Linked DNA regions of Rhinolophus ferrumequinum. The protein of the gene in region 4 interacts with the protein of the main gene of each other region in a pairwise test. Links are inferred from orthologs where the notes say so. Each region holds a gene or a part of one and is shown on either strand. Other genes may lie near its edges.

The links.
Region 1: the proteins of FUNDC1 (region 4) and YES1 interact in binary tests that used the Homo sapiens proteins (3 or more experiments, as listed by UniProt). The two-hybrid records come from large-scale screens. The link is inferred for Rhinolophus ferrumequinum from reciprocal best matches to the Homo sapiens genes FUNDC1 and YES1.
Region 2: the proteins of FUNDC1 (region 4) and GABARAPL2 interact in binary tests that used the Homo sapiens proteins (3 or more experiments, as listed by UniProt). The two-hybrid records come from large-scale screens. The link is inferred for Rhinolophus ferrumequinum from reciprocal best matches to the Homo sapiens genes FUNDC1 and GABARAPL2.
Region 3: the proteins of FUNDC1 (region 4) and TUFM interact in binary tests that used the Homo sapiens proteins (3 or more experiments, as listed by UniProt). The two-hybrid records come from large-scale screens. The link is inferred for Rhinolophus ferrumequinum from reciprocal best matches to the Homo sapiens genes FUNDC1 and TUFM.

What each region holds. Positions count from the first base shown.
Region 1 is NC_046302.1:16,336,175-16,343,783, forward strand, and holds the start of YES1 (tyrosine-protein kinase Yes), read left to right. Parts: upstream 1-4,602; 5' UTR 4,603-4,757; intron 4,758-4,848; exon of another isoform or gene 4,849-5,048; intron 5,049-5,158; exon of another isoform or gene 5,159-5,310; intron 5,311-7,609. UniProt on the Homo sapiens protein: Non-receptor protein tyrosine kinase that is involved in the regulation of cell growth and survival, apoptosis, cell-cell adhesion, cytoskeleton remodeling, and differentiation.
Region 2 is NC_046298.1:22,923,709-22,930,639, forward strand, and holds the start of GABARAPL2 (gamma-aminobutyric acid receptor-associated protein-like 2), read left to right. Parts: upstream 1-3,916; 5' UTR 3,917-4,044; coding exon 4,045-4,078; intron 4,079-4,406; coding exon 4,407-4,462; intron 4,463-5,621; coding exon 5,622-5,794; intron 5,795-6,931. UniProt on the Homo sapiens protein: Ubiquitin-like modifier involved in intra-Golgi traffic. Modulates intra-Golgi transport through coupling between NSF activity and SNAREs activation. It first stimulates the ATPase activity of NSF which in turn stimulates the association with GOSR1.
Region 3 is NW_022680357.1:1,235,215-1,242,890, forward strand, and holds the start of TUFM (elongation factor Tu, mitochondrial), read right to left. Parts: upstream 3,007-7,676; 5' UTR 2,916-3,006; coding exon 2,873-2,915; intron 2,769-2,872; coding exon 2,574-2,768; intron 2,106-2,573; coding exon 1,939-2,105; intron 1,774-1,938; coding exon 1,669-1,773; intron 1,585-1,668; coding exon 1,420-1,584; intron 1,287-1,419; coding exon 1,154-1,286; intron 1,070-1,153; coding exon 965-1,069; intron 848-964; coding exon 696-847; intron 611-695; coding exon 491-610; intron 1-490. UniProt on the Homo sapiens protein: GTP hydrolase that promotes the GTP-dependent binding of aminoacyl-tRNA to the A-site of ribosomes during protein biosynthesis. Also plays a role in the regulation of autophagy and innate immunity.
Region 4 is NC_046284.1:89,034,791-89,042,295, reverse strand, and holds the start of FUNDC1 (FUN14 domain-containing protein 1), read right to left. Parts: upstream 3,017-7,505; 5' UTR 2,856-3,016; coding exon 2,828-2,855; intron 2,038-2,827; coding exon 1,881-2,037; intron 1-1,880. UniProt on the Homo sapiens protein: Integral mitochondrial outer-membrane protein that mediates the formation of mitochondria-associated endoplasmic reticulum membranes (MAMs).

The DNA.
Region 1 (7,609 bases), on a different chromosome or scaffold from region 4:
GGCAGCCATTGTTGTTATCAATCCTAGTATCTGTACTGCCAGTCTCATTAATTCATTCAGACAACCTAAAACGTTTTGTCAAAGCATGGATCTTACGTTAGATATCTGTTGCATATGCTATTCCCTTAGAAAGAAGAAAAATTAGGTAGCTACTTCAAGCAATCAAAAGATCTGTTTATATACAAGTTAAAGAAGCATAGATATACTTTGCTAAAGGATTAAATACATTATGGTTTACATCACATAATAAGATCTGGTCAGATTTTAATTTGTTCAGACTCAAATGTGAAAAATAATGATCTATACTACTGAAAATATAAAAAGGTTTAGCTTGAAAAAGGAGAACAAAACAGGTTTTCAAAAGCATAGATTTATTCTAAACACATTTCTTTAATCCCCAGCCACAATGTTAGCTTGCAAAATATCTACTAATAAAAAGTTCTTTAATACCAACTGTTTGTTTCGTGATCTGATGTCTAAACCTTTGATGTAGGTAAACATTCTAACTTTAACATTTTGCCTTCAAGCAAAGTTATGTTCTACTTTTCATAACCCAGTTGTAAAGATTTCCAGGAAGTAGCAATCTGGTAGCAATTTTAGTGGTGTTTAAACTCAATGTCAGAGATGCTGACATATTATGACCGCATATCAGTTTAATATATCAGAAAAGTAAAGGCTAAACACTTGGTAATAGCTACAGGAATTCCAAATATATGTTTTGGGTGAAAACAAGGTTATAGGGCTGAGATACCAAATGGGTTTCAACATCTAACACCAATTTTAGGTGGCTGTTGCCTGAATCATTGTTAAGAATTTTAAGGATTAAGTTAGTGATTTGGGAGAAAGTGTGCTACGCTGTGGTCTAAAAACAATGACTTCCCTGAGAAGGCAGGAGGGACTGATTGGCCAGCTGTGTTCTAAGTTCAGGGTCTTACATATGGCTCAAGGCAACTGGAGTTCCAGTATTGGGGTCCTACCATCCTGTATCACCGCTTCTTGCTTGTATTCACCGCTTTGTGCATTGTTTCATCCTCTCTCTGAAAAATGGCTCCCCCGATCCCATACCCACCCCCACTCTGTGCATGAGGCAGGAGATGCTGCCTTCACATCACCTGCGTTTACTGTAAGCAGTGCAGGCAAGTAGTAGAGACTAAGTAGGGTTCTCATTGCAAACAATAGAGTCTCTACTTGTTTCAATCTGAAAAAGAATTTAATGGGGGTAGTTCAGAGAATACACAGGAAGATTGGTGGAACAGGCTCAGGCAGGAACCAAGAAGGCTAGACAAAGTCCGGGTTCTGCCACAGGGATGGTAGGCTTAGATGCAGGCTCCATCAACACGGAACTCTTGTTGCCTACTACTACTGGACTGCCCTATTCTGGACACTCACCTTCTGCCACTGGCCTTTCAACGCTACCACAGCCACCATGAATAATCTCCAAGTCACCTTTGTGTCACTCCCTCAAAATTCAAAATTTCTGGGCGTATTGGTACTCAGACCATAGGGCTACAATCGAGCGATTGGTAGAGGATCGATTCTCAGAGAAGAGGAACTTGGGTTAAACAGACATCCTCAAAAGGTGTCCACTGCATGCTATATTCTGCTAGGTGAAGGGCATGCGAGAAGATGCCTGGTACCATCCAGCTTAGGAACTGCTGTCCCAGAAGAATGAGGAACCAAGTTGAGAGTATGAAAGTCTGAAGTTATGGGTAAGGCCACCCAGGGGTAGGTAAATAGGCACCAGGAAGAACTGAAAACAGGGACTTTACTATATATAACAGGCATGGGACCAAATTGTAGGAAAATCAGAAAGAACTGAAGTCAGAAGTGAACCAAGAGATGACCCAAAAGTAGGTTCCAATAGCAAAAACTAGACATCCAAAAACTAGTCCCAGAGTTAGGGAGGCACACCAGGCACAGGTGGACTTCTAAGATTGTAGACCAGGTAGCCATGTAGGAGCTAGAAGCTAGAAGCTAGAGAGTGTAACAAAACAGAGCAAAAGCATGGGCAGGCATTGCTCAAGTTCATGAACATTGGCATTTGTTACATCTATTCATTGTAGGATGTGTCCTATACATCCAATGAATTAGATGTCTTAGACAGTCCTTGCTGCGTTGAGGGGAGTAAAATCTGTAATACACAATGACCAGCCCTGAGGCAATGAAGGCATCAGGAAAATTCAGAAATTGATGGGTTGCTGCACCTCTCCACTAACCTGAGCACAATGAGCCTAATGGTCAAGGATGAATACTTTCCTTTTGCCTGATCCTCCAAATCTTTGCTTAGAGGGGCCCTCATATTCTTCTCATGTTTTTCCTAACTGGGCCTATGAGCAGTTTAGCCTGGTGGAGGAGGCAAGGCTATGGTGGTGCAGACAACGTTAGACACTAAGTGGAGTGAAAAGATCCAGGCTTTGAGCCATTAGCACAAATCCAATGGAAGGCATGTTGGGGGTGGGGTGGGGTGGGGTAGTGGGATGGTTATTAGAGAGCAGAAACCAGTGCATGCACCCTATGTAAGACTGCAGGCTTTCTGCTTTTCAGGAAGAGAAAAACATCATCACAGCCTCAGTGAGGGAAGCAGCAGCAGCAGATTACTGACAGTAGGTAGAAGTTTATCCCAAACACAATCATTTCCTGGCAAAATCACATGTTCCAGGGTGAGAGAAAGTATGCCCCAAATTTTTTAAACTTTCAAGAAATTGTAACCATTAATAAACTTAAATACATGATGCATTTCACTTGTGTAGGGACTTAACGTATTTCATTCATTGTTTGTTTCAAGCTTTCCCCTAGCTTTTTCATCCAGAAGAATGTCCCATGGATCCAAGATTTAGGTCCCTTATCACTCTTTAACACATAAAATCCCAAACCTCTATGCTGTGTGCGAGGGAAAAGGATGTGCTTTTTTTCATACGGTTCATGAATGAACAGATTTTTACTTAAAAACAATTTCTATTCTACCAAATTCAGTGAGACTTTAAAGATTCTCTCTCTCTGTCTCTCGCTCTCGCTCTTGCTCTCTGCTTTATGGTCTTTTAAATATTCCTGGAAATAAGTGAGCCATTGAGTCTAAGATTGAAAAGTCTCCAGATTATTTACAGACTTAAGCTTGGGATTGTATGATGAATATTCCAAAAAAGAAAACAGAGAATGAGGTAATAAAAAGAATCAAAATGAGGGTGGAGAGAAGAAAACTCAGTAAGTTAATACAACCTATATCATGTATGACAGATTTTGACACCCTCTCCCATCTTTAAAAACTACATACAGAACATCTTCAAAGCCACTTTACCCTTTAAACTGGGTAAACTTGCAGTTGAGAGTTGATTTTTTGAGGTTGAGAGTTTAGAACAACAAAAATATTTAATTTAGAAGTTTAGAAACAGCCCAAGGAACTTATTTTCTAGTTTAAAAAAAGCTGAATACAAATCTACATGAAAATTTTAATGCCTACAATAAAGTCAATGGCAAATGAAGTTTCAGTAGCTAAATCAAATAAACCACTGTTCCCTGTTATGGGTACCTTTTTGTTAACGTGAATGCCTATACCAACTTTCTATTCATTTGGTGAGCTGAAGAAAAACATTGTTTAAACCCTTATATGCATTTCCTGAGTTCCTAGAATACCAGAAAACTGACACATGATTGTACTATTTCGTATCTGTGGAAGATGACTGAATTTCGCTAAAAACCACAAAGGAAACCAATAGTCCCACACTAATAGTTGATAGCCCCACCAAAGAGAAAATACAAAGAGGAAGTTAATCTAAGAGTGTGACTGGGCAGAAGTGATTTCAGCAGAAAAGCCTCAATATTCAGCCCGTTTGACTAACCCTCATCTTTATCCCAGTCCCCTCTGGACCTGCTCTCTTCTGCAGCGACTGGCTACAAGGAAAATAGGAAAGGTGCTTGGATTCAGATCAGCAAGATTCTAGTTGTGGCTGCGCCACTTTCAGGGTCGCAGCCTCAGTTTCCATAGCTGTCAAACAGAATAATACTTGTCTCAGGTCCCTCCCTGGGATGTTGCCAGGGTCGTGTAAAAATACTCTGTCCCAAGATAAGTCAAAGCCACCATCATTGGGAAAGTCGCCAACAAAACTCGGCTTCCCTCTACAGACAAGGCTGGTTCGACCTACAGTCAACAGGAAGCTCCTGGGCTGGGACAGACTCGGAAGGCGGCCAGACGCGAGCGTTTTTGGACGGCGATCAGGCTTGTGATGAGGGTGTTAGTAACGCACCCCTGGCTCCTGCAGCTGTGCGGAGGTTTTACTATCAACGACAATGGGTGAGGAAGCATAGTACTGAGAAGCAAACAGCCAACCAAAATAACTCAACCCTGTCCTCCCCCACAAAAACAAACAAAGCCACAAAGCCCTCCGCACTACAGAGAGCGGGTGGAAGAGAAAAGATAAAGGCGTAGGGGGCGGAATCTGCGCCCCCAGCTTCATCTCCTGCCGCAGCCCGGTCGGCGGCTGCAGGGTCCGCAGGGTGGGGAGGGGCGCTGTGGGCCGGCTCTCCGCGTGCAGCAGAGCCTTCTCTTCACGCCCCCTCAGCCTACGCCACCTCGGGAATCCGCCCCGGACCCCGCCGCCATGTTGGGTCGGGATAAGTGCCTCGAACTTGCCACCTAGGGGGACCGCGACAGGGGTGGTCCGCAGCCCCGGGCGGCGCGCGCCGGCGCAGGAAGGCTGGGGGCTCTCGAGCCCGGGTGGGCGCGGCGCCGGTTCCGGTGAGCCGGCTGGCAGCGCGCGCAGGTAGCCGCAGCCCCTGCCCCCGCCCCCGCCCCCGCGTGGAGGGGCGGAGCCAGGAGTGAGGGCGGGCGCGCAGCGGTGGGGAGGTGCGGAGTGAGGCCGAGGGGTGGGGGAGCCCGGGAATTCCCTCCTCCTGAAGTAACGAGTTAGGGGCCGGCTGTACAGTCGTCGCTGGCGCGGGGCTCCCGGGACGAGGAGGTGGAAGGAGGGAGAGGGCCCTGAGGGCCTCGCCTCCGCCCCCCACCACCCCGCGCCGCAGCAGCAGCGACCCATGTGAGCGCGACTCGAGGGCAGGTACGGACCCCGCGGCGCACCGCGAGTGGAGGCGGCCGACCCCGGCGGGGCAGCGCTAGGCCCAGGCGCCCGCCCGCCCCTGGAGGCGCCGCCGCTCCCCGCCCCCGCCGGCTCCGAGTCGGGAAGTTGGGGAAAAAGTTCTCCCATCCCCCGGCCCGGCTTGCCGGGCGGGCGTGTCTTCTTCCCGGCGCTACCTGCTCGCCCCCTGACTCGGTCTCCGCCCCGTCCAGTCCTTCCCGGTCCCGCCCAAGTCCGACTTAAGGTACTAGGATCGTTGGGACACCTCCCCCCCACCCCACCCGCGTCCGTAAGGTCTTGTGGGCCACCTGGCGAGGCGGGGGCGAGGTTTATTTTGGCTCGTTCCCCAAAGTAAAAGGCGAGGGCAGCGTTCCCTTTCTGTCCATAGATTGGGGGTCAGTGTATCGACTTACGCCGGTTGTCTGCTGTGCGGGGAAGGCGACCGAGAGTGTGTGTGTGTGTGTGTGGGACGAGTGGGTGAGCCTCACGCTTCACTTGGTTTGATTGAAAACCACAACATGTTCAAGTTTTCCTTTGTTTTGTGTTGGGGGTTGGGAAATATGCATTCACCATCCACTTTTACAGTATTATGCCACTGCCTCCCAATGGGTTCGGGTTCTCTGTCCACTTGTATTACAGACAATTTTGTTTTAAAATGTGTTTTTATACTTGATAATTGCTTCCAGCTTTTGCTTTATGGGACAGCGTTGTTTTAAGAAGCTCTTCGAAAATCAAGTCCGATGTAGGAACTACTCTGATTTTTGTATTGTAGTGAGTGGGATTGGTTCGGATTTGGTTGAATTATTTTCTGCGTAATTGAAAAAGGCATGGAATAACACTCTAACAATTTATAAATTATTAAGGTAGAGAAATGAAAAGTCTCTAGTGGAATCACAACTTTATGCTCATGCCAGTTGTTATGTGTATATGTTACATTGGTGTGTGTTTTCACATTGATGATTTCACATGTGCTGCATATGATTGTAGTATATTCGTGCATTATAATTGTAGGATTACAGTGCCAAAGGTAGCTTGGTAATTCTCAGTATATTTAAACCATCTTGTTAAATTGCTAAAGTTAAGTTACACATTGAGGAAAGTATTACTAAACGTGTACATGTGACTGCATTTAAGGCCAAGTATGTGGTAAATCTAATGTTTTAACTAGTGCAGTGTTTGGCACACAGTGGACAGGAAACGTTTTGAATGGACAGGTAATGAAGGAGTGTCTTGTCTTAGAGGCCAAGGATCTTGTATACCTCATATATGATTTTCGTATCTGTAAAAAAGTTGTATTTCATTAAGCCATACATTTGTTTTACTAATATATAGAACCCATGCCATCGTTTGACATTTAGAAAAGGAAGTTAAATTATATTTTAATTTTTGGACATTAGCTAAACCTCAGTGGAGATTTTGAATACTGGTTGACAATTCATAGGGTCCTAAATTTGAAAGAAAAAAAAAAGTTGCCTTTGATCTGAATACAAAACAGTTCATATCCATGTTTCCAGAATAAAAGATAAAAGGGCTCTTAAAATATGTCTCTACTATAACCACCATAATGTTATAATAGCTTTAATTTTACAGTATGTTTTTGCTGACTTCACAAACCACAAACTTGACTCCTTTTTGTTCAACTGAAAGTGAAATTACAGCTTTGACTTAATCTTCCTGGGATAGATGGAATTTGTCTTATGGCTGAAGTATATTATTAATACATGGTTTGAGTAGTTTTTTAATTCAGGAAATTCTCAAGCTGCAAAATCAATGTCCTTGCAAATCTTCAAGGTATGTAATGTTTAAGGAATAAATATTTTAAAAGAGTAACAGTGACTCACTATAAGTGAAATATTACCAACCCATGGTGTAAGATTTCTTTATACAAAGTTCAGCTTTGCACCTTTTTAGACAGTAAATAGTTTATTAATGTGATTTTTCTTTATAAATATATTTAATTCTCAATCTAGTGTTCAGTATAGGCATCATTTATTAGTTTCTGTTAGCATTATACTAAAAAGCCTGATATCAAAACATTTAAAAGAGCAATACTAAGTTCTGGTATGTAGGAACTTGGGTGATAAAACTATATTAAAAAAAAAAACCTGCAAGGAAGTGATTTCTATAAAAATAAAGAGATGGGAGGAGGGAGGAAGTTGTGATAGGGATCTATCTGGCTTCTGAAGTGGTGGCAAAGTTCTTTTAACCTGATGGTAGTTGCAAGGGTGTTGGCTTTAGTATAAATCATTAAGCCATACATTTGTTCTGTGTGCTTTTGTGTATCTGTGTTTCAGTTTACATAAAACTTTTTTTTCTTTTTTAAAGAAGCTTGTGTTTAATGTACTATGTAAGGTGCTTGGATAAAGAACTTAATATTTGGTGACTGACTTAAGAATACTGCCTGGGCTGTCCTTTGCAAACAGGATTAGTCTTACTATATCATAATTATCACATAACAGCTAGTGTATGTAACTATTTTGACATATAAATAACATGTTAATGTTAATATTTTGAGGGAAGACAGCAGGTTTTACTAACTTTAA
Region 2 (6,931 bases), on a different chromosome or scaffold from region 4:
TGTTGTTTGCATCAAAAACATAGTGTGAGGTTTATGCTCAGAATATGTACTCAGAATGGAGTCGAGTAGTCGATGCCCTTATTTTGAAGGCAACCTAGAAATGGCTTTTAGATGAAGAGAAGTCAAGATCCTAACAACATAAAGAGAGGTCAAGACTTGCCCATTTGGGAAAACTATCCAGGGTCCTTACCACAGTCCAAGATGAAAATGTCATCAGCCACAAAATGCTTTTTAAAAAACAAAACAAAAACAAAACCTCTTTTATTTATTTAAGTGTGTTTTTCTGGGACCTATCAGCTCCAAGTCAAGTAGTCGTTTCAATCTAGCTGTGGAAGGCACAGCTTACAGCGGCCCATGTGGGGATAGAACCAGCAACCTTGTTGTTAGGAGCACTGCGCTCTAACCAACTGAGCTAACCGGCTGCCCCAAAAAATGCTTTTGATATATCCGGTCCAGTACTATTCATTTTTGCTTTAAAGATTGTCTGGGATGGCAACACAACTGTTAAATATAGCAACTGTATTTTTTAAATCTTATTATTCTGACGTTATATTGTATCTATGCTTTAAGTGGATGACTTTCATTTATTTCAATAACCATTAAAATAAGATTCTAGAATAGATGGTTCTAGTGTCACCTCCTGAAGGTGGCTCTGCTCTGAGGAAGGAGATGTTTGCCTCCAAAGCTCCTCTTGCAGCAGAAGGAAACACGTACTGTAGCTAATGTCAACTTAGTTACTGCTGAAATAGAAGGAGGTGACTGCTAAAAATTTAGGTGTATGAACATCCTGGGATGCCATGAGCTTTGCAAAAGTATTTACTAATTTAATCTTTATTCCATGATTTGAGGAAGCTAGTCTTTGTGGTTTTATTTAAATTCTTTAAGAGAGAACATCAGATTTTTTTTTAAATGCTAAAGATTTGTGTATATTGTGTGATTTTCATGCATTCATGACTGAGAACTGACTTCTCAGTTTCCATGTCCATAATTTTCTGATGTTTCATACAATTTACCTTCAGGGACAGAGAGTCGTTCTCTTAAAACTACACATTTTAATAATATTCTACTCCTTTCTAGGAGCTCCCATTTAGGGTCTTCTTAATCAGTTTAGAACTCCTGAATGTTTGCTTCAAAGGTTTCCAACACTTCTTTGACTTTGGTATTAATCTATATTGCTGAACCTTTGGCTTCCGAGTTCCCTCATCTAACTTCAGCTTTTGTTTCTATTCATTAATGAAAGTTTATCCTTTGAAAAATGTACCCTTCTTTCCAAAATATAAGATTGACATTCTCTGTGAAGTCTTTCTTGATAAGCCTCACTGGGCTTTGTGTTGGCCCTATTGCTCTCGCCGTCCCTCAGTATCCATGTTCACACACCTCTCCAACATTTGAAATTTATTCTCTGTATGTTATAGGTCTGTTCATGTGTAATTGCATACATGCATTATCCTTTTTCTCCTGCTGACTCACCTCTTCAACTAACGATTCCCGCAAGGAAGGCATCCAGTGTCTTTAGAACATTCAATAAACTAAACATAATGACTCAAAGAAGACGGTGATGTATATCATTAAGGCATATCAGAGAAGCCAATTAGAATGGTGAACTGGAAAAAGACATCAAGAAAGTGGGTAAAGATAGAAGACAGAAGGACACTGCACATCACTGAGATCATCGGGTGTCGTGCCTGTGGTTGGTGGGTGGTGGATCTTTCCCCTGAGAAGTGTACTAAGTCTTCCATGTGAGTGGTGGTGTGCAAATGCTTTGGACTAGGACACAGTGACCAGCTCGGAAAGCAGGAGTTTCAGTTCAATTTCTAACTCCTCCATTGATTCACTATCAGATGGTGAACAACCATCTTCATTCCTCAGTGTTTAATTCTATTTGCAAAAAAGGTATTTTCATTTTTTTCCCTCTCTAGCTGATCTTATCCAGTTGAATAGCTTTAAATAATTCTCTCCTGAATTTGAGACCACAGATCCATTTACTTACCCAACATCTTCACTTGGATGTGTCTCTCAAACATCTCATACTTAATACATCCAAAACTAAACTCTTGATTCTCAACCCACCTGCCAAGCTGGATCCACTCTATTTCAGTAAATGGCAATTCCATCCTTACAAAAACCTTGACTTATCCCTCACACCTCATATCCAATCTATCAGCAAATTTTATCAGCTTTACCTTCAAAATATATCTAGAATACAACTGCTTCCCACCAACTCCATAGACACCTCCATAGACACCATCTTGGTCCAAGCCAACATCATCTTTCACCTGGATCATCATGATAGCCTGTTAACTGTTCCCCTTGCTTCCATCCTCAACCCCCCATAATCTACAGTCGAGTAACTAGCCTGATCACTTAAAAAGGAAAGTTTATCATATCAAAACCTGTGCTTCACATGGAATTCAAAGCTCAATACAGTTTTGTTCTAGATCTCTTTGATCTCATCTCCTCACACTCCCCCTTGTTTATTCAGCTCCAGCCACAAGGGGTTCCCTTTCCGTTCCTAGAAACTACTTTATTTAATTAGCATTCTATCCCACCATCACTCTCTAGACACCAACCCTGTTTTACTTTTCTAAACAGCACCTATCATTTCCTGATATATTTATTTTTGGTCTTGTTCCGCTAGAATACAAACTCCATGAGAGCAGAGGTGTTGTCTATTCTGTCCACTGCTTTTCCCCGACACCCAGAAAGAACAGTGTTCCTATGTATACAACAGCAATTTCTAGGTATGAAATTCAAAGGATTTTCACTTCATTAAAAACATTCAAGCAAACAAAAAAAACTATCTTGGTTGCTCAGACACACAATCTTAAAATAACAAAAATACTTTTATTTATTTATTTATTTTTTTTTCTTTTTTTCCCCTCCCCCCAAAAATACTTTTAGAATGAAGCTAGATTCCACAGCATCTGTCAGGAATTTCAACTGTAGGAAACGATGAATGACAATGTTCAAACATTCAGGCCTTTCAGGTGCATCAGCATCACAGGCACGTGGAAAGGATCATGTGCCCAATTAAGCGAATATTCTTCTTACTTATTCACCAGCTCATAAACAGACGATGACCCACAGCAGACTGCCCTGATGATTCTGCTAGGAAGAAAGGAATGACATCACTGGGGAACCTGAAGGCTCAGGCAGTGACACACGCACACTCACACAAGCCTAGGCTGTGATTGCTGAACCCCAAGATGACTGACTGCCAAAGAAGCTCATCTCATGACCAGCTCTCAGGGGAATTCTCCGAGTTTGACAGTCACTTCGGACCCTCTGCCAATTAAGGTTAAGGAGTCTCTTTCTGATCATGGTGATGTACAGTCCTCAAATGCCTTTGTGATACCTTTTCTTAAACATTTATTTAAACAGCTTTTCTTGAATAAAGGAAGGAAATTGGATTTGTTTAAATTCAATTTCTAGGTCCAAGGCAACCTGCTACGGCTGTCCTTAGTACTGAACCCCAGGGTTGTCATCAGTAGCCCTCCCCACACACAGTACCCTCAAATTAGTCACAATCCCGGTATGGAGCTCCCTGTTACCACTCCAAACAGTACTCCCCGAACTGTGAATGCCTTAAACAAACCCTGCCACCCCCTCCCCCATCACAAGACCCCTCTTCTGTCATTCATACCTCCAAAATCCTCCCCGCCACCAACGCCCCAGTCAGGCTTCCCTCATGAACAGCCCTCTGTAAGGATCCTATTCTATCAGCCAGACGCTCAAACTCCCCTTTCCGTAGCCAACGTCCAACGAGACCCTACTTCTATTATGAGTTCCCAAATATCCCCTCCCCAGTCACCAATATCCCTCACAAATGCCCCTGTCGTCAACGTCATCAACTCCACTCACCCTCGGTTGCCCCTCGCGAGCCGCGCCGGAAGCCCCGCCCCTAGCAGGTTGCTAGGCTCCGGTAGCCGGAAGTCCCGCCTGCCGTGTATTCACCGCCGCCGCCGTCGCTGTCGTTGTTGTTGTGGTTGGTGCTCTGAGCTCCGCGGCTCCGAGAGCCGGCTGCGTCCCTTCCCCGCCGCCGCCATGAAGTGGATGTTTAAAGAGGACCATTCGCTGGGTAAGCGCTCGGCCACTGGCCGGGCCGTGGGGGCCGGCGCGGCGGCTGGGCCCTTCCCCCACTCGGGCCGCCCTGGGCTGGGCCGGGCGGGGCGGATGTGGAGCTTTGGGTTCAGGTCGCCGAGGCCCGGATTCCCCGGGTAGCTGCCCACAGACCCCGTGCCGCCTTCCGCAGGCCCTGCTGGGAGCCAGGGGATCGAAGACTGAGGCCGCTGGGACGCCCGAACGAGGGCCCGGGGCGTGCGTAGGTCGCGGGGGGAGGAAGGCTGGGTGCCCCGGAACCGGCCTGCGGGCAGGCCTGACAGTCAGCCGATGTGTTTCTCCCACAGAACACAGATGCGTGGAATCCGCGAAGATCCGAGCGAAATATCCCGACCGGGTTCCGGTGAGTGGACTCCCCGCCCCTTCACCTCACTGTCACCCCTGTCGTCTGGGACCCGTGACAGGGCACCAGGCCATTCAACAGTTGACAAGTTGAGGTTCCAGCCCCGGTTCTAGTAGCAGATGAGCCAGACTGGGTTAGGGGCCGTACGGATGCGGGCGTGAGGGGGCTGGAGCTGGTGCTGTTCAGGGTGCCTCAGTGCTGAATCTCCCGATCTAGGCCAGCGAGCTGGCTGCAGCCTCTGGGCTCCCTCGCTAATTATGTAAGGAACGATGTTCTAGGACAGGGCAACAGGTCACTGCCACTTTGGGGAGCGATGGTGGAGCAAGACTGTCACTTTGGTCTTGGACGTGGTACTTTAGTCTCAGGACATTCTCATCTGTAACTTTGAGCCACCATTTTTATCTGACTTCCAGCACCCTTTCCTTACCCTGACCCTGTCATCTTTTCCTGACCAAAAAAATCTGAGAAGCTGCTGAAAACCCCTTCTCCTGTAGTTCTCCCTTAATCAATACTAAATATGACCCTATATTTCTTTCATGGTAGGGGTGATGGTTTCTGTACTCCTTATTGATTTTTAAAGGACATCCAGGCCTGTTATTGTAGTTCATTGCTTGTGAACAATTTCTTTGGAGAGGCGTGAGGGGGACAAATCGGAAACCTGGTTCAGAGAGAATCAACAGGCCAAATGAAGAGCTTGGTTCTTGGCTGGCTGGAATAGCCAGTCATTTCCATTAGTCCATCCATTCTCATTTCCTGTGTTCCTTGGGATCTTAATTGCGCTGTAGTGTGAAGGTAGATCCTTTCTGGGGTCTTGGAGTAACAGGCTGCTGATGGAACCCTCACTAGATATTCTCAGGTCTGCCCAGACAAAATGTTGAAAGCTTTGTAGTAAGGGCTATGTTTCTCTTATGCATGCTGAGATCAGGGATGAGAAATATAGTAACTGACCACAGAAAAGCACTTACTGTTTCCCTATAACATATTTATATCAGTTCTTAACCTCCAGAGTATGTGGTCTATTAATTCAGGGGCATGTTTTTTCATGTTACACAGTTTCCCACCCACCTCCTTGCCCACACACTGTTCATCAGCTCCCTGACAATCCAAGGCCAAAGTCTTACATTAGAAATCCAGTCCTGATCTCTCTTTGCTTTCCCAGGTGATTGTGGAAAAGGTCTCAGGCTCTCAGATTGTTGACATTGACAAACGGAAGTATCTGGTTCCATCTGACATCACTGTGGCTCAGTTCATGTGGATCATCAGGAAAAGGATCCAGCTTCCTTCTGAAAAGGCGATCTTCCTGTTTGTGGACAAGACAGTCCCACAGTCCAGGTGAGAGATGTGTAGTAGTGTTGGTCATCTGCTTGGCTGCGTACAGAACTCAAAACTTTGGCGGTCTGAAAACTCTTAGAGGTCCTGACTGGAAATCAGGATTTTTGTGCTTCCTTACATTAGGAGCTCAGGGAAAATAAAGGCTGCAATAACTGGGAGTGTGCTTTGGGTTAAGACTAGAACAAGGCCTGGATTATTTTAAAAAAATAATGAAATCTAGCCTCAGACCCCTCAGAATCCTTTAAAACAGTTGAGGACTCAGTTAAGCTTAAGCCATCAGTAGACCTGAAACCTGGAATGGTTTTCTCCAAGTGATCCAGGAACTAAGTCTTGTCATTCTCCATTGGGAGCTTGTGGACCTTGCTGAGGCTCAGCTTCAGTTAATCATCCCGCTTGCTTGCTCTCTAAACTCAGTCAGCTCAGAGCCACTGTGAGAATCTGTAGCTGCCTGATCTTCAGTACACTACAGTGGCTGCTGTCCAGCAAAAGGCTCTGAGGTCCCTCTGCAGACTTAAACCTCCCGTGGTATCATCTGTGCTGTCAGGTTAACCGCCCCCATGCTCTAGCTGTTGTGCTTCCTGGAAGCAGTCTTTGGGATAACTTGGGGCTGAATCTAGGCAGGGCATTACAATTCCCTTCTTCCGTGTAGTTGACAGCCCAGCTTTAGTCCCCTGTGGAAAGAGGAAAATGGACTGGCTCAGTCTAAATCCCTGGTCAGTCCTTTCCTGTTAACTGATTGAATACTAGGCCCTGAGCCAGATGCTGGCCCCCTCTTTCCTGAGGTGGAGTTTCTGGCTGCATCTCATCTTTGTGGCCCAAACTAAGTTTCATTTGCTATCCCCCAAAAGTAGTACTTCTAAAAATTAAGGCTTTCAGAAGCCCTGGGAAATAACCCAATGTGGCCAAAATATGTTCCTTTTGAAAATCCTTGAAAGCTCCAGAAGAGGCCTAAGCCAAATTCTAGTCCTTTTCCTACGAAAGGTAGAAAGCTCTTTTTCAATCTGAAAGACCAGAAGGCAGAAAGGCTATTTTTTGGTGTGATTTGCTTTTTCCCAATCTCTACCACTTCTACTTCCTGGTGTTTGGCAGAGAAGCAGGGTAGGGGAAAAATGGAAGATTCTTCCCTAAGGTCTGTCG
Region 3 (7,676 bases), on a different chromosome or scaffold from region 4:
AGGTCAGCCGCGGCCTGCAGGGTGCCCTTCTGCCGCCACCTGTTTGCTGGGAAACGCAGCCAACGTGACAGGACGGCTCCTCCCAGCTGTCAGGCAGGTACAGAGCACAGGCGAAGGCCAGAGGGGGCCGGGGACAGGGTCACAGGAATGCACCTGAGAACACAGCCTGAAATTCGGGGTTATGCAGCTTTCCTTGTCTCGGACTTCTCTGAGCCCTGCGTACAGTGAAACTCAAGAGAAGCCGCCTTCTGCAAGCCTTTCTGTGCATAAATGCAAGTACAGCTAAGCCCAGGGAATACTGGATCAGGCCTCATTCACCCCAAATCCGTGGGTTCAGACCCTTCCATCGCTAGTTTCATCTGTGTCACCTGCCAGCCTCTCCGCCCACGGCAAAGTCACCCATATTGTCACGTCTCCGGAACTGTAAGTGCAGAGCTGATACGAAGAGCGCCCCCTACCCCGCGCCTTCACCTTCCCCAGCCCCCCGTACCTTCCCTGGAGGCAAGATGACACGACAGGCCATGTCCCACGTCAGGGAGAACATGACGGGCATGAAGTGAGACACAAAGGGCTTGTGACGGCCTCCTTCCTCTTTGCTGAGGATGTAAACCTGCAAGAGACAGCACGTGGCTGGAAGCTCTGCCTCTCCGGATGGGCTCAGCCCTGCCCACCTGACCTCCACCCTCCGGGCTCACCTGTGCCTCCACCTTCTGGTGGGGCTGGATGGAGCCTGGCTTGGCCATGACCAGGCCCCGCCGCAGGTCCTCCCGCTTCAGGCCGCGGACCAGGGCTCCCAGGTTATCGCCAGCCTCTGCCCTCTCCAGGCTCTTGTGGAACATCTCGATGCCTAGGAGGGAGCAGGGGAGACCAGGGAGGACGGGCTGGGGCAGAGGGGAGGCACAAAGCATCTGCAGGGACAGCCGTCACCCTGGAGCCAGCCCCGGGACCCCCAGGCTTCTGGTACCTGTCACCACCGTGCGAATGTTCTTGTTATGTCCCAGGAACTCACACTCGTCTCCCTTCTTCAAAATGCCACGTTCTAGCGTACCTGTCACCACCGTGCCCCGGCCTGGGAGGGAACAAGACAGGCCATCAGGGACCCTGGGCGAGGCTCTTGCCAGGGCGACAGGATGCGAACGGACACGGTTCTCACCGGGAATAGAGTAAACTGACTCCACAGGCAGCAGGAAAGGCTTCTCCAGGTCCCGGGTGGGCACAGGGATGTGGGTGTCCACGGCTTCCAGCAGCTTCTGTACAGACTTCAGGCCGAGCTCAGGGTCGCGTTGCTACGGGGGGAGGTGACAGGACTCTGACGTTTCCATCCTGCTTACCCAGAACCACACCCAGATTCAGCACAGCTCTGCTGCCCACCCCACCCTCTCTGCCACGCACAGCAGCCCCCTGCCTGGCTGCCTTCACCTCCAGGGCACAGAGCGCAGAGCCCACGATGACAGGGGTCTCCTCCCCTTTGTAGCCAAACTCCGTGAGCAGCTCCCGGATTTCCAGCTCAACTAACTCGACCATCTCGGAGTCCTGGACGGCATCTGCCTTGTTCACATACACCACCACGTGCTCCACTCCAATCTGCAGGCGGGAAAGAGACATGGGGTCCTAAGCGGCCCCGCTCCCTACTCTTCCTCTTTCCACTCCTACCCAGGCTCTGCCTACCTGTTTGGCCAGTAATAAGTGCTCTCGGGTCTGGGGCATGGGACCGTCATTGGCTGCCACCACCAGAATGCAGCCATCGAGGGGGGCGGTGCCTGTGATCATATTCTGGGTGCGGGAAGAGAAGAAACAACCTACTTCAGCCATCTCCTCGGTCCACATCCCTACAGGTCTCAAGCCTAGACGTCTTGAGTATCTCAGCCTCCTCCCCACAAGTCTCCCGTCTTTCCTGCCGGCAGGCGCTCCTGGCGCTGTCCCCAGCCCCACTCTCACCTTAACGTAATCTGCGTGGCCCGGGCAGTCTGTGTGGGCGTAGTGGCGGGCCGCAGTGCTGTACTCCACGTGGGCCGCATTGATGGTGATACCGCGGGCGCGCTCCTCGGGGGCGTTGTCAATCTCCTCGTACTTCTTAAACTTGGCCCCGCCTCCCTCCGCTAAAACTAAGGGAGGGCGGAGAACACACCTCTCAGCTGCGGTTCCAGGGGGAGAGGCCGGGCGCGGGCCACACCCCTGGGCCCCTCACCCTACGCGGACAGCCCCGGAGGGTGGTCCCCTCCCCTCGACTCCTCCAGCAGAGGTAACCGAGTCAGAAAAGCAGGAGCAAGGGTCTCAAGCTCCTGCCCAGCGACCTCTCGAGGGTAAAACGAAGCCTCCGCTTACAAAGCAGCCCCCACGGCGGGAGGGAGGCCGTCCAGCGTTCCCCCCAATGCAGCCATCACGAAGAAGTTCACGGGAGGGGAAAGCTGTCTCCTGCAACAGCTTCCAACCCACCGGCCACCCGAGCTCCGGCACCTGCGGCTCCACTAAACGCCTCCAGCGGCCCCTCCGCTGGCCCCGCCTCCCCGGCCCCAGGTCCCTCCCGCTGGCAGAGCGGGCGCCGCCGAGGCGCCCCCTGCAACCCCGCTTACTTTTCGTGATGGCCGCGGTCAGTGTGGTCTTGCCGTGGTCCACATGGCCGATGGTTCCCACGTTCACGTGGGGCTTGTCGCGCACATAGGTCTTCTTGGCCTCCACGGCCAGCCCGCGGCACAGAAGGGGCAGGGCCGGGGCCTTCAGCGACCGCAACAGACCCTGCAGCGCGGGGGTCGGGCCGGCGCCGAGACCTGCCGGGGCAGAGGTTTGGAGTCAGGGCGCGGGTCCGAGCCCGGCCCACTCCTGACGGCCCCCACGTGCTCCTGGGCCGCGCTCGCCCTCCCCGCCCCCTCACCGCTGAAGAGGGGCGTCGCGCGCAGCAGGGTGGTGGCCGCCATGGTGGTCGTACGCCCGCCCCGAAGACGGTACCGGGTGCCCGCGCGTGCAATGAGGAAAGGGCAATTGCGACTGCAGGACACTTCCGGCGGAAGTGAGGGCCCGGAGGGCAAATCCCGGCGCCTCTAGCCACCAGTTTTTATGGCCCTCGCCGACTTCCGGGCGCGGGACGGAAAATGTCAAGGTAGGTAGATGCTGGTGTCTTCGGGGCGGGGAAGGACAGAGGTTTCCACGACGCACTCGGCCTCCCGGGGGGAGAAAGTCCACGCAGTTCTCTCCCGCGGCCCTGGGGAGCGGTGTAGAGCGAGCGTCCCATAATGCACCAGCGCCCCGAAGCCTCATGGGTGTTGTAGTTCCCAGGGCGGCGGGCTGTTTTTGCGCTTAGTGTGGGAGGTAGGCAGGGCGAGACCGGGTCCAGAGGGAGGGGGCCCCGGCGCGGACTGCTCAGGAACGTCCTGGCCGCGAACCCCCTGGTGTCCGACCCACTGCGCGGGTCAGACGAGAGATCTGGCGGCCCTTGTCCCGCAGCTGCAGGTAGGACGAGGCTCTGCGGCCAGGCTGAGAAAGACGGTCCTGGGCGCCTTTCGGGGGTGGGACTCAACTGTGACCCATCTCTCCTCTGCGCTTTTCTTTTCTTATCTGTAACATGAGACTACAGGAGGGATATCTACTTCATACGGAGATCCTGACGTCTGGCTCGGAAAGGAAATGAGCTGGGGAGGAGGCAGGAATGGGGTCGTGGGGCCTCCAGGTCCCCCAGTCTTTGACTCTCGAATATCCACCCTCTTGGCTCACAGCCTGCGGGGACAGACAAAGCTTTGCCGTCTACCCCTATGGCCCTCAGGAGCCCCGGGAGTAATTCCCTTGCTCGTCGCCCCACCCTCCCACACAATTTCCCTAATGACACCTGAGGGTGAGCCTCAGGGACCTTTCAGAGCAACCGGAGCCTTTCTGGTCCCCACCGTGTCCCTAGCATCTCACACAGGACGGGGCACCCAGTGAGTGCTCAGTAAATATCTGCTGACTGACCGGATGCGTGCAAGGATAGTATATAATAACCTTCATCCATCGTCTTATCACCCTGGGATGGTAATAGCAGCAGCTCGGCCCTGGTTAATGTTTCTACAATTCATCACGTCCTAAGACTCAATTGACCTGATGGTGTTTGTTTCAAATAGATTCCCTAAATTCTTGCTTAGAGATGATGACTCAGTAAGGTCGGGGCACAGACAGGGAAACCATATTTATGTATCACACAAACACACACACACACTCTCACACACACACACACCCTTCTGAAGCTCAGAGTTTGGGACACAGTAAACTCGAGCTTCTATGGATCAGATATGCAAATGCTTCCCATTGGTTCACAGTCAGTGAATTGGTTCCCAGTGTTACTGTGTGTGGTAGGGCCCATATTCCCCCCATTTTACAGGTGAGAAAACTGCGTATGGGGATGATGAAGAAACCCAATACAACTGAATTCCGAAACAGTGTACACTTGACTACTGTACCAAACTGTCGTTTAACTATCCTTTTACTGCTCATCTAAACTGAAGAACTTAATACTGACACTTCGCTCCCTCTGGTCCTCCAACCCATCAGCTCTGCTTAGGGAGGGGCTGGTACAGTATAAAAAGGTGTGCTTGGTCCCCACTCTGTATCTCAGTCACCCTACTGGAAATTTGTCCTAAGACACTATTGGCCACTAAGGGATATGAGATTTTTTGGGGGTGGTACTTAAACTTTCTTCTTAAAGAAACTTAAAGCTTTCCATTTTCGTGGCGCTATATTTATTTTAACGCGTGTTAGTTAAAAAACAAAGAATAAACACAGTAAATACTGTGTTTAAGAAAATGAATCGATTTTAAACACGCTATTTGGTAGATAATATAGGTGGTATGTATATATGGCAAATGTGGGGGGAGGCGGTACATGAACAACTGAGATTTGAGAAACAGTGCTCAGAAAAGTAAGTCCAAAGGGAGAGAAAATTCTGTAGAGCTGTTGATGTAGCATCCTCTGTAAGTCAGGAGTTTTGATTTACAGAGAACAGAATTGACGCCGGCTGGTGTAAGCAGAAGAGGGATTTGTTTTAAGGGTATTAGGCAGCTTCCGGAATTGTGGGATGGGCTGGAGAAATAACGCCCCAGCCACAGAACTGATCTGACCTGATAAGAAAACTGTCGCTACGCCACCATACACTGCATGCCAGGACTGAGATTTGTCTGTAACAGCTACTGCTGTTGGCACTGAAGCCATTTCTGCATCAAGAAAGAGACCTTCTCTCTGCCCCGCACTCCCCACCCCCAAACACAGGTCAACTCAAAGCCTCACGTGCAGGTATCTGATTGGAGAAGCCTAGCTCGTTTGTCGGTGTTCTTGTATCAGGAGGCTCACAGATGTTCTGTATTCTGACTGACGTTGGGGGCCAGGGGATCTCCCCCAGATGTCCAGTCCTGCCTATGACCAATATCCCAGTGAAAGAGCAGAAGGAACACAAATGTCCAGGCTGTGGCTACGGTAGCGTGAATTTTGGCACGGCCACTAAATGAAATATTAGTGAATGGGCTCAGACTTGCAGAGACGAGAGGAGCCAGCCACCTGTGAAAATGCTTGTGAGCAGTGTTAAATGAAGCGGAAGCCTGGCTACTATAGGAAGGTGGCATCTGTACAAGACGGGAGTTGGGGGCCTTGGGGACAAGGGAAGTCGAAAATCATTGTGACTTAGGAGGCTGTGGATTTGTTTTGAGGAGGAAATTTTTCTCTCTTTCAAACATTTGTTTTCTGTGATTCCAGTTTAAAGAAAAACTTCTTAGTGCAGAATCTTGAACTCTTTAAAAAAGATACTCTTGAAATCCAATGGCTTTCCAGGTCCCCTCAAGTCTGTTCATGCTTCGGACACTTTGCACTCCTGTTCAACAGCCATTTTCCATCTTCCTGCAGCCAGGGCCCTGAGTTTGTTCCGGGCGACCTTTTCTCCTGTCCAGGAGTAAATCCTGACAGGTCTAGTCCACTTCTGGGGGGGGGTCCTATTCTCCTTCCCCGGAAGCTTGTGTCAGGTTCGGGGTGACTCCTTTGGGGCCAGTGATTGGTAAAGGATCTGCTTGGGTGTGTGTGTGTGCAGGGGAGGGGGGGTTCCCAAAAAGGGTCCTTCATTCTTAAGAAGGAGACACCAAACAAATGGACCTCCTTCTGCCTCTGAATGTTGCCAGGTCTGAATGGGAAGCTTAGAACTGCTGTGCCCATCCTGCTCCCAGGTGATGATACAGCCAAAATCCAGAAGAGGGCGAAGCGAAGAGGACCTTAGAAGGCTGGACTCCGTGTGGTATGTGATGATGGACGGTACACGTATTGTTTAAGCCAGACCGGGTCAGAGTTGTCTGTTATTTGCAGCCAAATGCGTCCCAACAGACACTGTCTCTTACAGCCCTTGGTACCCTGAGACGTATTTCTTGTCTGGGACTGAGTGACTTGGGCAAGGCCAGAACTGGGCTTCCTTAATCTCTGTATCCTCTGTGCCTGGCCACTGTCGGTCTCTGAATATTGGCACTTGAACTATGAATGCGCCTCCCAAACGGAAGAGTGCCACCGTGTGGTGCCCTGGACTTAACCATCCAAAACAGGATTCTCAGTTCTCTCCCTCACTCTTCCTCACACATCTAATACGCGGCGTCACCATTCTCCCTTCCCCTCACCCTACACCTAGCCCAGTACCCAGTCCTGCTGGTTCTCTCTCCAAAATATATGCTGAACGTGAACACGTCTCTCTCCACTATCAGTGCTGGTTCAGACGGGGACCATGTCTCATCTGGGCTACCTCACGATTTTTCCAAGGAACCTCCCGGCTTCTACTCTTATTCTCAGTACCTGTCAAATGCATCCTTCACGCAGCAGCCAAATCGGTCTTTAAAATGTGGATCAGAATTTAATCCCCCTTCAATGACTCCTTCTGACACTTAGCATAAAATCCATACTCCTCCTTGAAATGGGTGAGTTGTACGGCAGGTAAATTGTATCTCAATAAAGCTGTCATCAAAAATCCAAACTCGGCCTGTGGCCCCCAGGGCCTGCATAATGTGGCCCCTGGTACCTCTGAGCCCATCTAGTATGCGTTTCCTCTCCCTGCCAGCCACACGGACCATCCTGCTGTTCAGCAAACATCCCACCATTGTTTCCACCTCACAGTCTTTGCAGATGTTTTTCCTTGTCGCTTTCCCCGTGGCTCGTTCTTTCTCATCACTCCAGTCCCACCTCACATGGCACCTCTTCTATCTAAAGTAGCACCCAGATCATCCTTTTAGCAGCTCTCCTCCTTTGATTTTCTTCCTAGCACCTAAATATCCAAAATTATCTTAGTTTGCTTGGTTGTTTGGTTATTTTTTTCTGTCTCAGGACAGTAAGAACTTGTGTTTTACTCAAAGAACAGTGCCCGACACTTACGGGAATTGTGTGTTGAATCATTGCAGTTGGGTATTTGTGTTGGGCTTGTTAAGTTTCCTGCTGTTTGCAATGGAAAGCACATTGTGCATTCACATTCATTTTTAAAATAAAGCTGAGTCAGTGTAACTTTTGGTGCCTCTACTGTATTACCCATAAGGTGGGGACAGAGTGGCAAGGATAAACGGTATGATTTTTAAGATTTCCTGTAGCTCTGACTTCTCAAGGGAGGGCAGGGCCAGGTGTCACCGAAACGAGTAGTGGGCTGGCCCCCAACTTCGTGGCAAAATGAGGACGAGGACCCAGAGCTTTGTCATCAGTGC
Region 4 (7,505 bases):
CCACACCAACTAATCTTCTAGACCGTCTAATTAATCTTCACACCTCCATTTCTCCTAGCAACCAACCACCCTGACATTAGTTTTAATTTCTTATTATGATCAAAAAAATCTATAGTTACCTACAGCTAAATATAATCTCCTCAGCGTCCCACTCATGTCCTGAATTGGTCTGTATTGTTAACTAGTTAAGTTAATGCCTATTAACCATTCCTCCTTCACGTATGCCACAGTAGCACATCTGTTTTATATCCTAAGAAAATTACAAAAATTTACTACACTGAATCTAAACTCATTGCAGCAAATCACGTGTGTAGTATTAGTCCTATTACACAGTCCCTGGGCTGATGCCTGGCTATTATCCAAACATGTATTACTATAAAGACTGTCCCTCAGGTAGGAAGTCCGCAACAAAGGCTCAGAAAAGGAGTGGAGGAAGCAAGCAGCAGTCAAGTCTCAACAACATCCCAGGCAGCGTGCTCCACAAGCATGTCTGTCCTTTGCTTGATGGCATAAGTCACTAAAATGAACCAACTTCTCTGCTCTATCCCTAGGCTTTCCAAGCAAACTTCTGCCAATTACGGAGTTTCTCACTGAGTTTGAGCTACAAGGAGAAAACATACAATGATTTAATTCTATTGCTCAATTACTTTTTAATCTCTTTTAGGATAGGGCTTTAGGCCCTGACACTTTAACCAATCACCCATGGCACCAGATTATGAGCTTATTTAAACAGGGGACCAGACCCTAAATTATGGAGATCAAGGTACAACTAGCCTGTGGAGAATCGTCTGAATAACCAGGGCCCTAACCAGGCATCTCTTTTAATTACAGGCTTTATTCATAAGCAGCATTAATAAGTATACATCATGAATAAATATTGTACCTCTTCATCACAGAACCTTCACAATGATTGTTTCTACCATCAAATGGCATTTACAAAAAGGCACAGAGGAGTGCACCATTGTTCCAAGGTGCACGTAAAATACAAATTTAAAGAATTAATTTTATACTTATCAAGTTTAAATATGTAAATATCTAAATTAATGTAAGATGAATTTAACTTAGAATCTAAGGAAAAAAATGATGGTGCACATGTTAAGCACCCACACGAACTTTAAAAATTCTCTATGGTAATGAACATTTTCAAAATAAACAGTCAAACTTGTTTCTGACCCGTTACTTGGCTAATCTTTTATTCTAAGAATAACAGAATTAGATCTATAGTAGCAATTATGTAATCATGTGATCTGAAATGTTAACTGGTTAGGTTAATGCTTAACTGCTTAATGTATTCCATATTATTAGAATAAGCAATCCATCCTTTAATTCCAACAAAGGCTCAGTGTTCTACAACTCCTCTTCAAGTATTACAATCCAAACTAGCCCACAAAAATCAACACAATCATCTGTATCATAATCAATAATTTTTACTGAGAATTTTCACTGCTCTCTATAGAGCTGACAATCCTAGAGACCAGTTCTACTGTGGGAATATCACAGGTTTTTCCAGTTGTTAGCACTGATCAAGTAAAATATATAATTAACTCATCTATTTCTTTCTCTTTACTATCACTGAATCAGATCCACTACATTAGCTAAATTTGAGAAGGGGAAAAATATATAAAGAATCAAAGGAAGGGTGAGGAGGAAACAGTGGAACAATTGTGGGCAGCGGGGAGGGAGATCACCAAAACCCAACACTGAGTCTCTGAGTGTAGATTACACTAATCATATCACAGAGAAAAGTCTCAAGTTAGAGCTCTTCTGGGATTAACAGTGTAAAACCACTAGTAAGTGAGGTCAGTAACTGTCCCATGTACAAAAGGGCAGCAGTCAGTCAGGTTCCCAGTGAAATGTAATGAAAAAGATGTTATTCTCACCAGCCAGTCACTCCGCCCATTACAATCTGGGTGGCTACTGAGTATTTTTCTACCATAGGTCCAGAACTGTGGCCAAACACTCGATTCCACCAGTGGTGTCTTCTTGCATACTCAGTTAAATCCAACACTTCATAAGATTCATCATCACTTTCATATTCTTCAAAATACAAAATGGGGAAGATACATTTAGAGTCAACCAAAATCAGAACCGTCCTACACAATTTTTATCTGTTACAAAGCACTATTACTTTTCGACTACAGTTAAAAAGATCTAGATGGAAACATTAAGAGTTTGTTACATCCAATCCCTGAGACGAGGGCCTCAAGAGTAAAAGGGCCTAGCATCTCCTTTGCAAAGGCCCAGGGCCGGCCTGGGGGCCTGAACCAGGGCTAGGTCAGAGTTACACAGCAGTGAGGGGTCGTCCCCCTCCCCCAAATCTCAGTAGGATCAGGCCAAAGTTACACAGCAGTCTCAGTAGGATCAGGCCAAAGTTACACAGCAGTAAGGGGTTAACCTCCAAATTTCAATAGCGTCAGATCAGTTTCACAACATGAAGGGTAACCCGCAAATCTCAGGGCCAGGGCTAGAACTGGGTCCATTTTCATCGGTGGGAGAAAGAAGGGGTTCTCCTGACAGAACCGATTAGGGGGTCCGTCAAGAAGAAATTACTTCAGAGTTAAGACTGAAAAACGCGTCTGAAGATGGAAATGAGGGGCCAGAGAAGAAGGTAAGGCCGGAGGTGGGCTGTGTTGGGGGTGGGGATCGCTTTTCGCCTGCGTTCCGCCGAGAGGGGAGGGGGAGTATAGATCAGAGGGGTGCTCAAAGGGCCTGTCGCAGAAAAACAGCCCCAGGAACCCTGGAGCAGGGGAAGGAAGAGGCGCCCCTGGAACAAGGTCGAGAGCTGTGAGCCGCGTCTCAGATACTACTTCGGGCCCCGGCCGCTCACCTTGGGGAGGGGGGTTCCGGGTCGCCATGATACCGCCGGCGGCCTGTATTGAACGTGGTCCCCGCCCGCCCTCCTCTCCCCACTACTTTAAGAGCCGCTCTAGGCCCAGATGGAAGTCTATGGTCTCTTTTTTCCTCCTTCTTCTCTTTCTCCTCGGAGCGCGTTATCCTGTCCCCGCCCCCTCCTCTTAGCGCAGGGTCTTCTGCGCAAGCGCAAGACTGGTGGGACGTTGGTCGGATAGCAGTCCCACGAGGGCTTGTGGGAGCTGTAGTTCGTTGTCGTCGGCAACCCTAGCTTCCCACTCCACCCCCCTAGAATTTCCACGACCTAAATTGTTATTTTATTTTAAACAGTCTCAGGGCTGGAGAGGAGGGCTTCATTACATGTTATAAAGCGAAAACCAGCTTGACATTTTGAACACTGTACCAGAATTCAAGCCCTTGAGAAAAAAAGGCTTTTTAAAAGGAAATAAGAGAAACCCTGTTTCAAACCACACTGTTCTAAGGAGGCAAGGGCTCACTAATGGGTGGAATTTTTTCTAACGCTCTGCTGCTGGGAATTGAAAATTTTTTATCCGCTTCCTCTCCACACGTTTCCTGCCCAGTAACCTGAGGGGGGTAAAGAAAGCCCTAGGAGCAGACCTAACTCGAGTTAGTCCTCTGACATAATTTTTTAAATTTTATTGGAGAATATTGGGGAACAGTGTGTTTCTCCAGGGCCCATCAGCTCCAAGTCATTGTCCTCCAATCTAGTTGTGGAGGGTGCAGCTCAGCTCCAAGTCCAGTTGCCATTTTTAATCTTTAGTTGCAGGGGGCACAGCCCTATCATCCCATGGAGGGAATTGAACCAGCAACCTCGTTGTTGAGAGCTTGCGCTGTAACCAACTGAGCCATCCAGCCACCCCTCCCGAAGCTCAATGGCAGCTCATTGTCTTCAATCTAGTTGTGGAAGGTATAGCTCACTGGCCCATGTGGGAATCAAGAACCAGCAACCATGTTGTTCAGAGCTCACGATCTAACCAACTGAGCCATCCGGCTGCAAAGAGGACGTAATTTTTAAACATCATTTTCTTATTTAAATCTGACAGAGGAACAAGGTCAAGTTCTTCACTTTGAAGCCCGATAGGCTTCTGTAGAATGAAAAATCATGTTGATCACCAAGCAGCTAACTCAGGTTCACAAAAACCAGCCCCAAACTTATTTTGAACTTGCATTGCACCTGCACTTGCTGTACAATTAAAACATCCCTCTCAGTATTCGTTTTAATGGAAAAACAAATTCTTGTATAGGTTGCATTACTTAAAATATTGACTTACATAATTACACGGCAGCTTTTCAAATCCTAGTGCTTTAAAAGCGAGGGTTGATTCTCTGAAGTTCCTTAGCCTGTGGCCCTCAAAATGCAATTCTAAGGCTGGCTGGAGATATTAGTGTTCAAAAGACAGTTACTTTGTGTAAGATTACACTTTTCAAAAACTAAACAACCTTGGGGGTGGCTGGATGGCTCAGTGGGCTAGAGCGTGAGTTCTGAACAACAGGGTTACCGGTTCGATTCCCACGTGGGCCAGTGAACTGAGCTGCCCCTGAGCTTCTGGAGGGGCGGCCGGATGGCTCAGCTGGTTAAAGCGCGAGCTCTCAACAACAAGGTTGCCCGTTCATGGTATGGTGGGCTGCGCCCCCTGCAACTAAAGATTGAAAATGGCAACTGGACTTGGAGCTGAGCTGCACCCTCCACAACTAGATTGAAGGACAATGACTTGGAGCTGATGAGCCCTGGAGAAACACACTGTTCCCCAATTAAAAAAAAAAAAAACACAACTTTAAGGGACATAACTTCAGATGTCCTGACTGAAATATTTTTCCAAAAGTTAGAAATTTGAGTTCATACACTTCTTCCTTCCCATTGCCCACCCACTCCTAATGAAATGCTAACAAATAGAGAACTAGCAAATGGGCCATTGAAAGAAGAGAAAGGAGTAAAACAAGGCAAAGGAAAATTACAAATTGAAAGAGCAAAATGTGGGCCAACCCCGTGGCTCAGGTGGTTGGAGCACCATGCTCCTAACACCAAGGTTTTTGGTTCGATTCCCACATGGGCGTGAGCTGCGCCCTCTACAGCTAAGATTGTGAACAACAGCTCTCCCTGGAGCTGGGCTGCCATGAGCAGCCGAGGAGAGCTGCTCAGGGCTCATAATACCAGCATGGGCCAGGGAGCACCACAACTGGACTGAGAAACAACGGCTTGAACTGGGGATGGGGATGCGGTGGGGGAGGCGGAAGAAAGGGGGGAAAAGAGCAAAATGTAGGGCTGACTGGGCCAAAGACATCCAAAAGATACTTTCACGTGTTTCTAACAATATCTGCCAACTACAGAAAGAAGTCATTTTTCCTCTCAAGGCAATAAATAGTATTTAGAATCAAATGACTATCGAGAAATTAGGGAGAAAATGGAAATAAAACACTGCCCTTAAGATCCCAAAGAATAAACCTTTGTATCCAAAATAGATCCCGTTGACCCAGAGAAGAATATACATGCCAAAAAGGACTCTTCATGGTTAACTGGGCTCAAATTCATAATAAGAGTGTAGCAGCCATTGTTTACAGAGGTCTCTCATGCACTCTGTATTGCAGGGGAAAGCTGCCCTGAGCTGTCTGCCTCCCGCACTGTGTTACTGCCATCTGAGCCAACCTTTATAAAGGAAATCCTACTGCTTGTAAATGAACCAATGGGCTGAAGACTTGCCCCAGCCAATTGGGGCTGTGCAGCTATATCATCATTTGCATATTCACTGACCAATCAGAGTGGCTCTATTCTGACCAATCAGTGCTGTTTGGACCAATCAAACAGTGAAGATTTGGAGTCTTCATTTGCATAGAAATGAAGCAGTTAGGGACCGAGGGCAGGTATTCTTCTCTAGATAAGCCAGCTTCACCTCTGCCTCAAGGGAGTGCACTTTCAATTTTCACCAAAGGCTGTATTTCCTTGGCTAGAGCTCCAAAACCAGCAACAGCGAGGCCTCCTTGCCCAGGCTGCCTTGACAGTGCTACCTCACAGCTGCTGTTCCACAACAGTGTGGTTCCACAATTGAGCTGTCTCACAGCCATGCTATTATTACACAGCTGAGCTATTTCATAATTGAGCTGTTTTCACTGAATAAAGCCTCTCCTCTCACTGCACCCCAAATTGAGGACCCCTGTTGGCATTAAATTGGAGACTACCTTTGGTTGTCAATCCAAACATGAATTAAAAGGCAATAATTTTTCTAAAGGCCTTGAGGGCTGAGAAGGAACTTCTTAATGCTCTTCCCTTCCTTCTTACAATGATATGCCCTTGCTATGACCTTGAGGAAGTTGTTTGCATAATGGTTTTCTAAATGTAAGTTTTTTCTTACCCAGTAGAGAAGAAGCTGTCATTTTGTTGGCTCCATGACAAATGGTTTATTGTGTAAATTGTATACACAGACATTAATAGACACTATGATCCTCCTGGTGGGTTCAAGCGGGTGATTTCTTTTTTAATTCCCATTTTAAATAGTGTATGTTTTTCCAGCCAGCATTAATAAACATTTTCATCATGAACACATTTATCTACAACTGTACCAAATCATAATTTGGGTAGTCCCCAACTTTTCAATGGGTAGTGTTTCAAAAGTTTATGAGTCACTTATTTGAAATAGAGAACATTTTCTATATAATCCATAATGAAGCTACTATAATATAACTATTCCTTCCTGATCTCCACCTTTCCTCATTGTCTTTGGGAACCTCATTTGTTAAAAACAATTTAGTCAGAATTAAGAAAAACAAAAACCAGACAAAACAACAAACAAGAACATTTCATACTCCCTGGATAATCTAATCTCCCCCATTTACTACAACTGTCCCTACTAGATACCTGCATTTGAATGACACACAAATTGAACAAGTCCAAACCAATTCCACACTGTCCTTGAAGCTACCCAAAGAAACAACAACAAATTTAGAGTCACTTCTCTTTTTTCCTTCCCTTTTTCCCACAGTGAAGCAGCCATTTATCCTGCACTTGCACCACCTAGGCTGTGGCATCCGTTCTCTCCTTGATGCTCTCCAAGGCCATCCTTTGGACCATTGCAATGGCCTCTCAGTTGGCTTCTTCCTGCACTTTCTTGTCTCTCCCAATCTCACCTCACTGCAATCTATTCTGTCACTAGATCTTCCCTTCTAAAACCTAAATCTCAGTTGATCCTTCAACAACACAGGTTTGAACTGCACGAGTCCACTTATATGCTGATTTTTTTCAATAAATGCTGCAAATGTATTTTTTCTTCCTTATGATTTTCTTAATAACATTTTCTTTTCTCTAGCTTACTTTTGTTCATGAGAAAACCACTGGCCCAAAATGGCATCACTCATGCTGAAAGCCCATAATACCAAACCTAGATTTAATACCTGATCTAATTGTAGGATCAACCTCTCCCAGAAACGTAATCTTAATCAACCAGTCTGGAGTTTTCTAGTCAAGCACTACTAAAGTAATCTGTTACTTGGGCCCTTACCATCCCACCCCACTCCCCATAAAAAGAAGAGGCAATCTTCATGATAAAAAACCTTTCAGTTCTCTTCCCCCAAAGAAATAAAGTCCTCCTCCAAAAAACAATCCTTTTTTCCCTTTTGGTAATAGTTCCCTTGCCCCACCCTAC